Macaca fascicularis: one gene and its partners. The protein of the gene in region 2 interacts with the protein of the main gene of each other region in a biochemical or structural test. Links are inferred from orthologs where the notes say so. Each region holds a gene or a part of one and is shown on either strand. Other genes may lie near its edges.

Region 1 (4,521 bases), on a different chromosome or scaffold from region 2:
CATTTTACACAGGGGGAAACTGAGGTTCACAAGAGTCACTTGCCCACGCCTTCAGCTGAATGGAGGCAGTAGGAGCAGCAAAACAGTCTCCAGGACCCTCCTCACTATCCTCCTTCGCTTCCTGCTGAGCCCCTGCAGACCCTGAGCCCCCAGCTGCTGATGCTCCGGGCCAGCCCCTTCCCAGCTGGCCACTCTGTGGCCCACGGGGACTCACAGAAGTTCTAGGAATGCTCACCCTTTGGCTCAGAAGGATTTTCCCTCCCAGAGGGGGGTTGTGGGAAAAGGCTCAAGAAAAGTGCACTAAAAACCCTTCCACCTTCCCCCAGTAGGCCCTGGTTCTCATCCCCAGAGCCCAGCCTGCCCAGGTGGCCTCTGCCGGCTCTCCCTCCACGAGGGCAGGTCCCGAGGAGCCTCCAGAGCTGTTTCCACTCAGGCAGCCAGGTCAGTGATGGGAAACCCAGACACAACCTGCGCCTGCATCCCTGGAGACCCACCCGCCCACTGCCCTGGCAGGGGCCCTGAGGCCTGGCTGCTGGCCGGTGTTAGAGAACTGTCATCTCCCCAGCGAGGGGCTGCAAGTCAGATCTGGGTCCCTCTTGCCACCAAAGCAGGCCCTGCCGACATCGCCTTGCCGGGGCCTCTACTCGGAACCCCCGACCAGATTTCACTTCCTCCCACTCAGCCCAGCCTGGCCGTACCCCTCCCTGGAGGCCCCCAGCTGCAGGCAGTGACCTCCTCACCTACATCATTGTGGCTGGGAATGGGGAAGAGAAACAGGAGAATGAGGAAACTAAAGAAAAAAAGAAGCGGGACAGGCAGGAAGACCCTCCTCTCCAGTTCCTCAAATGCAGTCCCCCTCCCTCAAAACAAAGCTCCCCTGGCCGGAGGGAGGGAAGGGAGGGGAGGGGATTTCTGCACCAGGCATCAGAGGCCTCTGAAATACCCTCCCTACCGTGTGGATCCAGAAGACCAACACACACTCCAGACGTTTTTTGGTCGGGGGATTCCCAGGGAACCCCAGGCCAGAGGTGTGAGAGGATCAATCCCAGAAACCTGTGTCTGGGACGCCTAGCCCTGGTGAACCGCCCAGTTCAGCAGCATGCGGGGGCCTGGCCCGGCCCACCTCGGCAGTGCTGGGACTAGGGAGAGGGGCTTCCTGAATCAGGGCGCTACCCTCTTAGCCACATGGTCCGGAATGGGGAGTGGGGAGGACCGGCGCATCCTTCCCCGCTGCCCCCACACCCAAGGGCTCATCTGTGCTCACGGTCTCAGTTTGACTACTTTCACTTTCAGGGTAGCAATGGGTGACCCCTCACCCCTCCTCCCCAGGCACAAGTTGAGGGGAGGGCCGCCCCCAATCGGCGAGGCTACTGTAGGGTGGGCTGGGGACGTCAGCGATGCCCTCTCCCCCATCCCACGGCCGCAGTTACCCGAACGCTCTCCCCAACACGTGTGTGGGTGGGGTAGTGGCTGAGTGGCTGAGTGGGGGTCGTAGGCGCTGGGAGCCGTCACCCCGGAACGCCTCCATCTGAGTTAGCTGCAGGGCAGTATTTTGGGCTGGGGGTGACGCGCACAGCCCGGGCAGAACTGGACACGGGGCCTCCCCTTTCCCCACGAAAGCCTTCCCGGCCCCGGAGGAGGGGGGCGCGGGCAAACGCGGGCTCACCTGAGAGACAGGAGCTCTGGGCCCGGCCGGCCCATGGCGTCGCGCGCCCCCGGGCCCCCGAAATCCCGAGGGGGCGGGCGGGCCCCCGCCCTGGGCGCGTCCTCTCCCGCGCGCCGGCTCCTCGCTCGCGGCTCGCTCTAGCGGGGCTCAGGCAGGAAACCCGGGCTCGGAAAATGGCCAGCGCCTCATCATTTCCGCCGCCAGCGCTTGACAGTTGCGGGAGGATGCGCCCCCGGGCCGCCGCCGCCGGGGAAACTTTGCAGCGGCCGCCGTCGCCACCGCGGGCCACGACAGTCCGGGCGGGCAGCCGGGCGGAGGCGGTGGCCCGGGCCCATGCCGCCCCGCGCCGTTATGTAAAGAGGAACCGGCTGTGCGAGCGGAGCCCGGCGGGGGAGGGCGGCCGCGACAGGGGCGGGGCAGGGGCGGGGACACCAGGAGCCACGCCCCAGGCCGCGCGCGAGTTGGAGACTCGGCTGGAGGGGAGGGCCATGAGGGCGGAGCCAGGACTGGCCCCGCCTGCCAATTCTGCTAGTCCGCGGCTGCCCGGGTCCGAGGGCTCTCCTGGCGCGGGTCCGGAAAAAGACGAGGCCTTGCGAAGCCACGCCCACCACGTGCCCACCCTATTTCGCGTCCCACAGCCTAAAGAAGGAAGGAGGATCGGAGGGGCGGGGCGACCTGAGCCCCACCCACTGAACGCCGGCAGGTCACCAGGTGCCTCAGCGCCTGGAGGCGGGGCCAGATGAAGGGGCGGGGCCTAGGGCGGGCGGGGTCGAGCGGCCTGGCCTCCAGGGGGCGCGCCCCTGCTGACTCCCTCCTGCAGGGCCTTATCAGTGCCCGCAGGGCTGGGCAGTGCAATAGCGACCACGGCTTTCATCATCGCCCGGGGGAGGGAGCCTAGCCCTGCCCGGTCCTGACTATCTGCGATCATGCTGACCCGACCCGCCACGGCCCCAGGCCCCCGATTTGGGTTCTGGTCCCAGCCCTCAGCTTCGCCTTTGCTACAGCCGATGCCCGTATAGACCAGCCTCCCTCCGGCCACCCGTCCTGTCCCCCAATTCTAGGAGGGGTGCATCTTTCTCCAGGAATTCCTCTCGGACCGCTGGCTCCCGTGGACTCTGCGCCCACCGCCCTGCTCGCCCCTGGGCTACTTACATTTTCTCCACGGCCTCATGGGGAGCTGAGGCTGACAGTGGGGTTCCCCCTAGTCCGGAGTGGGGCATGCTCTCAGCCAGCCTCTCCCCCAACATGTGGGAGGTCGGGGAGGGAGGAATGTACTCTTCTCCCCCTCCCCCAACAGGAAACAAGTCGCCCACGCCCCCAGCTTGGAGGGGCCACCTCAAGCCTTCCCGGGCAGCAAATGTCTCCATTCCACTGCCTCCCCCTCTTCCTACCCGGGCAAATGACTTGACTTCTCCGTACCTCCACTTCCTTGCCTATGAAATGGAAATAATGTGTACCCACTCTCCTGGCAGTGAGAATTAAGTGAGTTAATGCATTAAAGCAGTTATCTCGAGGCTTGGCTCCAGGAAGCGCTCTGTGTTAAACAAACCGGCCTCAGTCCTGGCCTTAGAGCTACAGGAAGGGGTTCCCCATAAGGTGGGGATTTCCAGACTCTAAGTAGATGGGGGAAGGGAGCCAGTCTGCTACAGGATTCCTGGTGTCCAATGGCCTTGAAGAAAAGGACCACAAAAATCTGCTTTCCGCGCATAGGTACGAAATACCTACTATGTGCCGAGCACTGTTCTGGGTGCTGGGAACACAGCAGTGAACAACACAAATATCTCTGCCTGCGTGGAGCTGATATTCTAGTGGGGGGACATAAAGGCACGAATAAGTAAGAGGGATCAGTTATGACAATGACAAAACAGTTATGGGATGGAGAGCGGGAAAGGGGTGTCTTAGAGCCGCGACTCACGTAGGACACCTCTGAGGAACTAACATGTGAGCTTAGAATCCCCCACAACAAGAAGGATCCAGGTGCTATAACGTCTGAGGGAAGAGCATTCCAGGCCAAAGGAACAGCATGTGCAAAGGTGCTGAGATGGGAATACATGTGGTGCATTGGAAGAAAGTCATAAAGGCAGTGGTGATACCTATACTGATAAGAGATGATGTTTCAAAGGTGGGCCCATCAAATGGTGTCTTGAAGGTCTTGGTGGGGACTTTGGGAATTATTCTGAGGGCAGTAGGGTGCCATGGAGGGTTGTGAGGAGAAGGACCTGTTGAGCATGGGATTCAAGCTGTTCGCACAGCGTCTGAGGATGTGGGAAGAGGGGTGGGGTGGGGGAATGTCAATGAAGTCTAAACGAGGCCGAGTGCAGTGGCTCACACCTGCAATCCCAGCACTTTGGGAGGCCGAGGCCAGCAGATCACCTGAGGTCAGGAGTTTGAGACCAGCCTGGTCAACATGGTGAAACCCTGTCTCTACTAAAAATATATAAATTAGCCGGGCATGGTGGCAGGTACCTGTCATCCCAGCTACTGGGGAGGCAGAGGCAGGAGAATCACTTGAACCCCGGATGTGGAGGCTGCAGTGAGCCAAGACTGTATCACTGCATTCAAGCCTGGGAGACAGAGCTAGGTTCTGTCTCAAAAAAAAAAAAAAAAAAAAAAAAAAGTCTGAACGGATCATCCCATATTATTTGATCACTTTCTTATACCTGGGGACACTGAGGCCAAGATAGGACCGTTACTTGTCTGTAGCCGTGCACCTGCCAGGCGGCACCCACAGAGCAGCCTGGTACCCAGCCAATGCCAAATGGCTGCTGAAATCTGCCAGCCACAAGCACTTTCCCTCTCACTGCCCAGACAGCAGCTCTGCTGACTTAAATTGGGACTTGTGGTTCTTCCCCTTT
Region 2 (3,503 bases):
GTATTTTTAGTAGAGACGGGATTTCACTATGTTGGCCAGGCCGGTCTCGAACTCCTGACCTTGTGATCCACCCGCCTCAGCCTCCCAAAGTGCTGGGATTCCAGGCGTGAGCCACTGTGCCCAGCATCCTTAGTGATTTTTACACCATAAAGTGTTGGAGCTCTAAGGCAGAGCCAAGGCTAGAGAACCAAGTATAGAGAATCTGGAGATATGGAGAGGGCTCTGATTGCCTACAAGGAGTTTGGACTTTATTGTGGAGGCAGTGCGGAGCCAAGGCAGGTTTAGAGTAGGAGAGGGTCCAAGCCTGTGGGTCACCCTTCCGACTTCCCTTTCTGAATGCCAAACACCTTCTTCATGTCCCCCGTGGGCCCCCTTTGTCCCTCCTACCCCAAACTAGCCCTCAATCCCTGACCCTGGCTCCGCCCCCAGCCCTCTGACGTCCATCATCTCTGCTGTGGTGGGCATTCTGCTGGTCGTGGTCTTGGGGGTGGTCTTTGGAATCCTCATCAAGCGACGGCAGCAGAAGATCCGGAAGTACACGATGCGGAGGCTGCTGCAGGAAACGGAGGTAAGGCGGGGTGAAGGCCTGCCAGCCCGCGTGGGGTCTCCACTGGCTCCCGGCACTGACCCACCACCCCCTCACCCCAGCTGGTGGAGCCACTGACACCGAGTGGAGCGATGCCCAACCAGGCGCAGATGCGGATCCTGAAAGAGACGGAGCTGAGGAAGGTGAAGGTGCTTGGATCTGGAGCTTTTGGCACAGTCTACAAGGTCAGAGCCAGGTCCTGGGGTGGGCGGCCCCAGAAGGTGGGGGCGGTGCCTGGAGGGGTGTGGTCGGCAGTTCCGATGGGAGGGGCAAGAGCCGGAGGCAGTATTTGGGGGAGGGCAGTTACAGCGGAGCAGAAGGGAACGGGAGCAAGCCCCAGGGTGGGGAAGGATGTTTGGAGCACAAGTAATGATCTCCTGGAAGGCAGGTAGGATCCAGCCCACGCTCTTCTCACTCACATCCTCTTCTTTCTGCCCAGGGCATCTGGATCCCTGATGGGGAGAATGTGAAAATTCCAGTGGCCATCAAAGTGTTGAGGGAAAACACATCCCCCAAAGCCAACAAAGAAATCTTAGACGTAAGCCCCTCTACCCTCTTCTGCTGACAGGAAGGACCCCATGGCTGCAGGTCTGGGCTCTGGTCTCTTCATTGGGGTTTGGGGAGATATGACTCCCGCAAACCTAGACTATTTTTTTGGAGACGGAGCCTTGCTCTGTCACCCAGGCTGGAGTGCAGTGGCGTGATCTCAGCTCACTGCAACCTCCACCTCCTGGGCTCAAGCGATTTTCATGCCTTAGGCTCCTGAGTAGCTGGAATTACAAGCACCTGCCTGTTTTTTTTTTTTTTTTGAGACAGAGTCTCGCTCTGTCACCCAGGCTGGAGTGAAATGGCGTGGTCTTGGCTCGGCCTCCCAGGTTAAAGCAATTCTCCTCCCTCAGTCTCCTGAGTAACTGAGATTATAGGTGTGAGCCATCACGCCCGGCTAATTTTTGTATTTTTAGTAGAGATGGGGTTTCACCATGTTGGCCAAGCTGGTCTCAAACTCCTGACCTCGTGATCCGCCTGCCTCGGCCTCCCAAAGTGCTGGGATTACAGGCGTGAGCCACCGTGCCCGGCCTAATTTTTGTATTTTTAGTAGAGACGGGGTTTCACCATGTTGGCCAGGCTGGTACTTTGGGCATTCACAGGCCGTGAGCCGCGGCTGTGGTTTGTGATGGTCGGGAGGCTGTGTGGTGGTTGCGAGGCTGTGTGGTGTTTGGGGGTGTGTGGTGGTTGGGAGGCTGTGTGATGGTTGGGAGACTGTGTGGTGTTTGGGGGTGTGAGGTCTCCCATACCCTCTCAGTGTACCCTTGTCCCCAGGAAGCATACGTGATGGCTGGTGTGGGCTCCCCATATGTCTCCCGCCTCCTGGGCATCTGCCTGACATCCACGGTGCAGCTGGTGACACAGCTTATGCCCTATGGCTGCCTCTTAGACCATGTCCGAGAAAACCGTGGACGCCTGGGCTCCCAGGACCTGCTGAACTGGTGTATGCAGATTGCCAAGGTATGCACTTAGGGCACCTGGGCTCTTTGCGGGTCCCTTTGGAGCAAGCCCCTATGTCCACAAGGGGCTAGGATGGGGACTCTTCCTGGGCATATGACCAGGGCCAGGCCCTCCCAGAAGGTCTACCTGGGTGCTTCCCATTCCAGGGGATGAGCTACCTGGAGGATGTGCGGCTCGTACACAGGGACTTGGCTGCTCGGAACGTGCTGGTCAAGAGTCCCAACCATGTCAAAATTACAGACTTTGGGCTGGCTCGGCTGCTGGACATTGACGAGACAGAGTACCATGCAGATGGGGGCAAGGTTAGGTGAAGGAGCAGAGGAAGTCGGGTGGAGTGGGGTCTGGCCCCTGGGAGAACTCTGAGTGGCCACCTCCCCACCACACACAGTTGGAGGACTTCCTCTTCTGCCCTCCCAGGTGCCCATCAAGTGGATGGCGCTGGAGTCCATTCTCCGACGGCGGTTCACCCACCAGAGTGATGTGTGGAGTTATGGTGTGTGGTGGGGAGTGTTGGGAGGGGTGGGTGAGGAGTCATGGCTGGAGGGAGGATGAGAGCTGGGATGGGGAGAATTATGGGGCCACCTCAGCATGTGGAGGGAGGGAAGGGGCTGCCTGTGCCCCACCTTGCAGGGTCTGTGCACTTCCCAGGATTAGGGAAAGACTGGGTAGATTCTGTCTCCTGGCATCACATCTCCCCCCTGCTGCCATGATGCCAGACTCCTGGGCAGAACCTCTGGCCCTCCCACTCCTGACCCTGTCTCTGCCTTAGGTGTGACTGTGTGGGAGCTGATGACTTTTGGGGCCAAACCTTACGATGGGATCCCAGCCCGGGAGATCCCTGACCTGCTGGAAAAGGGGGAGCGGCTGCCCCAGCCCCCCATCTGCACCATTGATGTCTACATGATCATGGTCAAATGTGCGTGGCTGAGCTGTGCGGGCTGCCTGGAGGAGGGTGGGAGGTCCTGGGTCGAGAAGCCCACAAAGGGCATGAAAGGGGACCAGGATGTATGTAGACCCAGGAACCCTGGTATATTAGGAGCCTCAAAACCTTCTCATATCCCTTTTACAGTCAAAGTCCAAAGCCACTCTTGAGGAACAACTAGAGAACCTTATGTACAATATTAAGCTGGGCACAGTGGCTCATGCCTGTAATCCCAGTACTTTGGGAGGCTGAGGTGGGAAGATCCCTTGAAGCCAGGAGTTCAAGACCAGACTGGGCAACACAGTGAGACCCTATCTCTACAAAAAATAAAAAAATTCGCTGGGTGTGGTGGTGTGTGCCTGTAGTCCCAGCTACTCGGGAGAGGCTGAGGCAGGAAGATCACTTGAGCCCAGTTGAAGGTGGCAGTAAGCTATGATTGCGCCACTGAAATCCAGCCTGGGCGACAGAGTGAAACCTCATCTCAAAAAA
Region 3 (4,458 bases), on a different chromosome or scaffold from region 2:
GACCCTGCACCGCCACTGGCTCCTCTGTCTTCCTCCTCATCCCTCCTCCCATTTCCTAAGAGAAAAGCATTCTTATCTGCATCCCACCACTCTGTTACCCCAGTCACATTGGGACATACTTGAGCATGTGAACGCATGCACACATACATCCCCACACGCTCCTGCCCATACATACAAACACACCTGCCTGCATGCCGTGGCCTAGTTGTTGATTCCAAAAGCAAAGTCATCATGTCATTGCTTTCTCTCTTTCTCTCTGTCTCTCTCTCTCTCTATCTCTCCCTCTCTCTCTCTCTCTCTCTCTCTCTCACACACACACACACACACACACACTCTCTCTCTCTTCTGTGTTTATACACACTCTCCCTGCCTCTCACCACATCCCAACTGACACATACTTCTCCACCAAACAGCCCTCCCCACCACACCTCTTCCTTTCCTAGACAGGAGGGATATTCCGGGTTCTTGCTTTTAAGGCTGAAGTAACAGTGGTGGGAGTGGGGACTGAACCCCAGGTTGAGGAAGGGTCAGGGATCCCTACCAGACAGAGAGATTGGAACTGATAGAGGATACTACTGTTTCTCTTGTTTTTAAAAATCTTTTTCCACATGTTCTAAGATACTGTTTTTCTTTTTTCTTTAAAAAAAAAAATCATTTTCTGCAACAAAACCCACATTCTTTTTTTTTTTTTTAAGGCAGGGTCTTTCTCTGTCACCCAAGCTAGAGTGCAGTAGCTCAATCACAGCTCACTGCAGCCTCGACCCGCCTGACTCAAGGGATCCTTCCACCTCAACCTCCACAGTAGCTGGGACCACAGGGGTACAACAGCACACCCAGCTAATTTAGAAAACAAAAGATGGTGTCTCCCTATGTTGCCCAGGCTGGTCTGGAATTCCTGGGCGCAAGCAATCCTCCCACCCAGCCTCCCAAAGTGCTGAGGTTACAGGCTGAGCCACTGCCCCCTGCCCAGTTTTTCTAAAACTTGGGTGTGTGGGGGAGGCTGACACCCTTCCCGCTCCTCTGAAAGGCAGTTGCCTAACAGAAAGGTCCTCTGCTGCTCACTGCCCTGTGTCCCCAGTGCCCAGCCCCTGAGGAAGGGAAGGCATGCTGACAGGGTCCAAGTGATCCATGTCCAGTGGCTCTGGTGACAGCAGTCTGAAGTCAACTGGCTGTGAGAACTCGAGTAAGGCCAGTCCCGATCTGGTCCTCAGTGATGGAGAAAAGCCCCTCTTAACCTCCAATTCAATGATCCTGAAAGAACAGGTGCTTCAGGGGTGCGAAAACTGCACTTTTGGAGGGGGCCTTTGGGAAGGCCGTGCTGGGGACTCAGGTCTGGAGGGTGACAGACCTGACCTCCCGTAACCTGGGGAGGAGGAAGGTGGGGGCGGGTGGGCCTGGGATCTGAGGGCGCCTCCTCGCTGCGGGCAGCTGGCTTGGGGCTGGGGCGTGACTGTCTCCCCGCCACCACCACCGCCCGCCCGCCGCGACTGCAATAAGAGAAGTCCGAGGCGGCTTCCTCCTCCCTGCCCAGCAGGGGCGGCGGTCAGAAGCGGGCAGCACCCCAGTTCTCCCCGCACGCCGGCACTCGCGGCTGCTGGAGCCCCGGCTGGCTCGCTCCGGGGCCAGGCAGAATTTGGCTCCAGGTAAGAGACCGCGTCGGGTGGGGGCTGGGCAGGTCAGGCAGTGCCCTCCCCCTCGGGGCTCTGGGGAGAGGACTGGGGGTGGAGGGGAAGAGAAGCCTGAACATGGGTGTGGGGGGACACCTGAGCAAGGTGACAGCCAAAGGGACCCCAGCCCGAAAAGGCCTAAGGAGTAAAACTGGCGACCTGGAGAGCAAGGCTGATAAACCTGGGGGAGAGGGCGGAGGGGAGCACCGGGGAAGCCGACCAAAGGGACCCCAAAAAGGTCTAGTGGGTAGAATGGAGGGGACTTACGAGAGTTTAGGAAGGGGGGCTAAGACAGGCGGGGGAGAAGGACTAAGGGGAACCCCAGGAGGGTCTGTGGGAGAAACTGGAGGGATCGTGAGAGTGGGACTTCGGGGAGAAGCCGACGGGTCTGATGGGTCCGGGAGAAGGGAAATGGGTGGGGGTGCTGGAGGGAACAGGTGAGGAAGCTGGCGGGAAGAGGGTCGAGGAGAACGATCTCTGGAGGACGGAGAACCTGAGGTGCAATTGCGGGTCCAGGAAGTTCCCCTTTTCCGAGCCGGCCGAAGTCGGGGTGAAGCCCACAACCCGCAGGGTAACGTAGGCGGCCGCGACCCTCCCGGCCCGCCCTTGCGGTGGGTTCCGGGCTGCAGGGGACTCCTTCCCGGTGCGCAAGGCGTGGGTCCCCTCTTCCTGGGGAAGTCCCCGCCCTCAGCAGGGACTGGCCTCTCCGGGCGCCCCCTCCGCGCCCGCGGCGGTCTCGGCCCGCGCTCCCCGCGGGATCCGGGAATTGCTGCCTCCCCGACGGAAATCCTGCCTTTGACCGCCAGTGCCCGCAGGGGCTGCCTCCATGGCAACGCGAGGGCGGGCCGCACTGGGCCGCCGCGGGGCTCCTGGCGGGGGCAGCCCCCTTTGCTCTCCACCTTCGCCCCCTTTTTGAATCCTCGGTCTGGTGGGGGGGGGGGGGCTTCCCGACTTAGGAGGGCGCGATGCCGCTGTGTTTAGGGATCCTGAGTTGGAGGATCTGCTGTTTGAGAGACCTGGGTTCTTAGCAAGACTGGGCCCTTAATTGCTGTGTGACTGTAGACAAGTTACGGGGCTTCTCTGGGCCTCCTTTTCCTCATCTGAACTATGGGGAGAAATTATCCTCGTGTCCACCCTTCCCCCACGAGGATCAGGTGTAGAAAGCAGTATTTGCTGAGTGTCCTGAAGGGTTAAGGGCTATCCCTGACTCAGCGAGCCTCCCCTTCACTATCTCAAAAGCATGCAGAGGAGACCAGCCTGGGCAGCACAGGGAGACCCCCGTCCTGTCTCTACAAAAAAATATAGTTAGCCGGAAGGCCAGAAGTGGTGGCACCTGCCTATAGTCCTAGCTACTGCAGAGGCTGAGGCTGGAGGATCGCTGGAATCCACGAGTTCAAGGCTGCAGTGAGAGCTCCTGGGTGAGAGAGTGAGATTTTGTCTGTAAAAAACAGCAACAAAAAGCATGGATGAGGCCGGGGGCGGTGGCTCAAGCCTGTAATCCCAGCACTTTGGGAGGCCGAGACGGGCGGATCACGAGGTCAGGAGATCGAGACCATCCTGGCTAACCTGGTGAAACCCCGTCTCTACTAAAAAAATACAAAAAACTAGCTGGACGAGGCGGGGGCCTGTAGTCCCAGCTACTGGGGGGGGTGCGGGGGGCTGAGGCAGGAGAATGGCGTGGACCCGGGAGGCGGAGCTTGCAGTGAGCTGAGATCCGGCCACTGCACTCCAGCCTGGGCGACAGAGTGAGACTCCGTCTCAAAAAAAACAAAAACAAAAACAAAAAAACAGCAACAAAAAGCATGGATGAGGACCAGACAGCCCTGCTCTCACTGACAGGGCCTCCAGGGACCAGCGCTCAGTTGACATCTAAATAAACAGTCTATGGCTCTGATGAGGGCCCACACTGGGGAGGTCAGCAGAGTTGAAATCTGTCTCGCACCCTCTCTGGTGCCGCACCCAGTTGGCCACACCTCGGGTGTGTACTCTCAAGGACCCTGACGTCCTCAGCATCCTTCCGACTGTGGTGGTGATGGGAGAGCAGGACCCTGGTCCCACTTCACAGATGGGAAGATGGAGATTTGGGAGTTGGCAACCTGCAGGGCCAACAGTAGGGACCAGAAGTCCAGGACATCTCGTCTCTGATGTAGCCTGAGCTGAGGCCTGAATCCTTACCTCATCCAGACCAAGTTTCATGTCCCCACCAGGGAGGAGGGTGTGGGATTCCAGGGCTTCATGACCACTTCCCGTTCCAGTGAGTCGGTGCTCCCATGCCCTCCTCCAGTGAGGGTGTGAGTGTTTGTATGTTTTGGTCTCTGAGTGAATGAGCATGAACCCTTGAGCACACAGGTGGATGTTCGGGTGTTCTCTGCAGCCACCTGGAGCTGATGTGGCAAAGGAAGTGGCCAGACCTCAGGAGGCTGAGTAGGGAACCCCAGAGCTGGAGAAGTAGGGGCAGGGCTTTTCCCACGGGGAGCAGACTGGGCTGACCTAAGGTGGGAAAAGGCAGGATGTCCTCCTCACCGCCCCCCTCCCCTGAGGAACCGGGGACGGGGCTTCCTGTCTGGTCACACTGAAATCTAGACTCCCATCCCTCGCCTGCCCCTGGACACCCCCATGGCTCCCATCTCCTGAAAATCCTGAGTCCCAGGACAGATGGCACCTAAAGAGCTGTGTTTTAGAGGCTGGTGGGTGGTTTTCAGCAACAGGTGGAAAACAGCTTTTACCCACAAGAAGTGGAAAAAACTGCTGATGGCTTCGGGACCACATGGAGGGTAAAGGCTACCCCCAA

The links. The genes of interacting proteins can lie anywhere in the genome.
Region 1: the proteins of ERBB2 (region 2) and SH2B3 form a complex in vitro, tested with the Homo sapiens proteins (2 studies listed by BioGRID and IntAct, with this or other methods). The link is inferred for Macaca fascicularis from reciprocal best matches to the Homo sapiens genes ERBB2 and SH2B3.
Region 3: the proteins of ERBB2 (region 2) and FGR form a complex in vitro, tested with the Homo sapiens proteins (2 studies listed by BioGRID and IntAct, with this or other methods). The link is inferred for Macaca fascicularis from reciprocal best matches to the Homo sapiens genes ERBB2 and FGR.

What each region holds. Positions count from the first base shown.
Region 1 is NC_088385.1:118,293,784-118,298,304, reverse strand, and holds the start of SH2B3 (SH2B adapter protein 3), read right to left. Parts: upstream 2,914-4,521; 5' UTR 2,819-2,913; intron 2,022-2,818; exon of another isoform or gene 1,667-2,021; intron 1-1,666. UniProt on the Homo sapiens protein: Links T-cell receptor activation signal to phospholipase C-gamma-1, GRB2 and phosphatidylinositol 3-kinase.
Region 2 is NC_088390.1:60,785,939-60,789,441, forward strand, and holds part of ERBB2 (receptor tyrosine-protein kinase erbB-2), read left to right. Parts: intron 1-226; exon of another isoform or gene 227-429; coding exon 430-568; exon of another isoform or gene 569-648; coding exon 649-771; exon of another isoform or gene 772-1,025; coding exon 1,026-1,124; intron 1,125-1,906; coding exon 1,907-2,092; intron 2,093-2,238; coding exon 2,239-2,394; intron 2,395-2,509; coding exon 2,510-2,585; intron 2,586-2,861; coding exon 2,862-3,008; intron 3,009-3,503. UniProt on the Homo sapiens protein: Protein tyrosine kinase that is part of several cell surface receptor complexes, but that apparently needs a coreceptor for ligand binding. Essential component of a neuregulin-receptor complex, although neuregulins do not interact with it alone.
Region 3 is NC_088375.1:207,431,423-207,435,880, forward strand, and holds the start of FGR (tyrosine-protein kinase Fgr), read left to right. Parts: upstream 1-1,545; 5' UTR 1,546-1,643; intron 1,644-4,458. UniProt on the Homo sapiens protein: Non-receptor tyrosine-protein kinase that transmits signals from cell surface receptors devoid of kinase activity and contributes to the regulation of immune responses, including neutrophil, monocyte, macrophage and mast cell functions, cytoskeleton remodeling in response to extracellular stimuli, phagocytosis, cell adhesion and migration.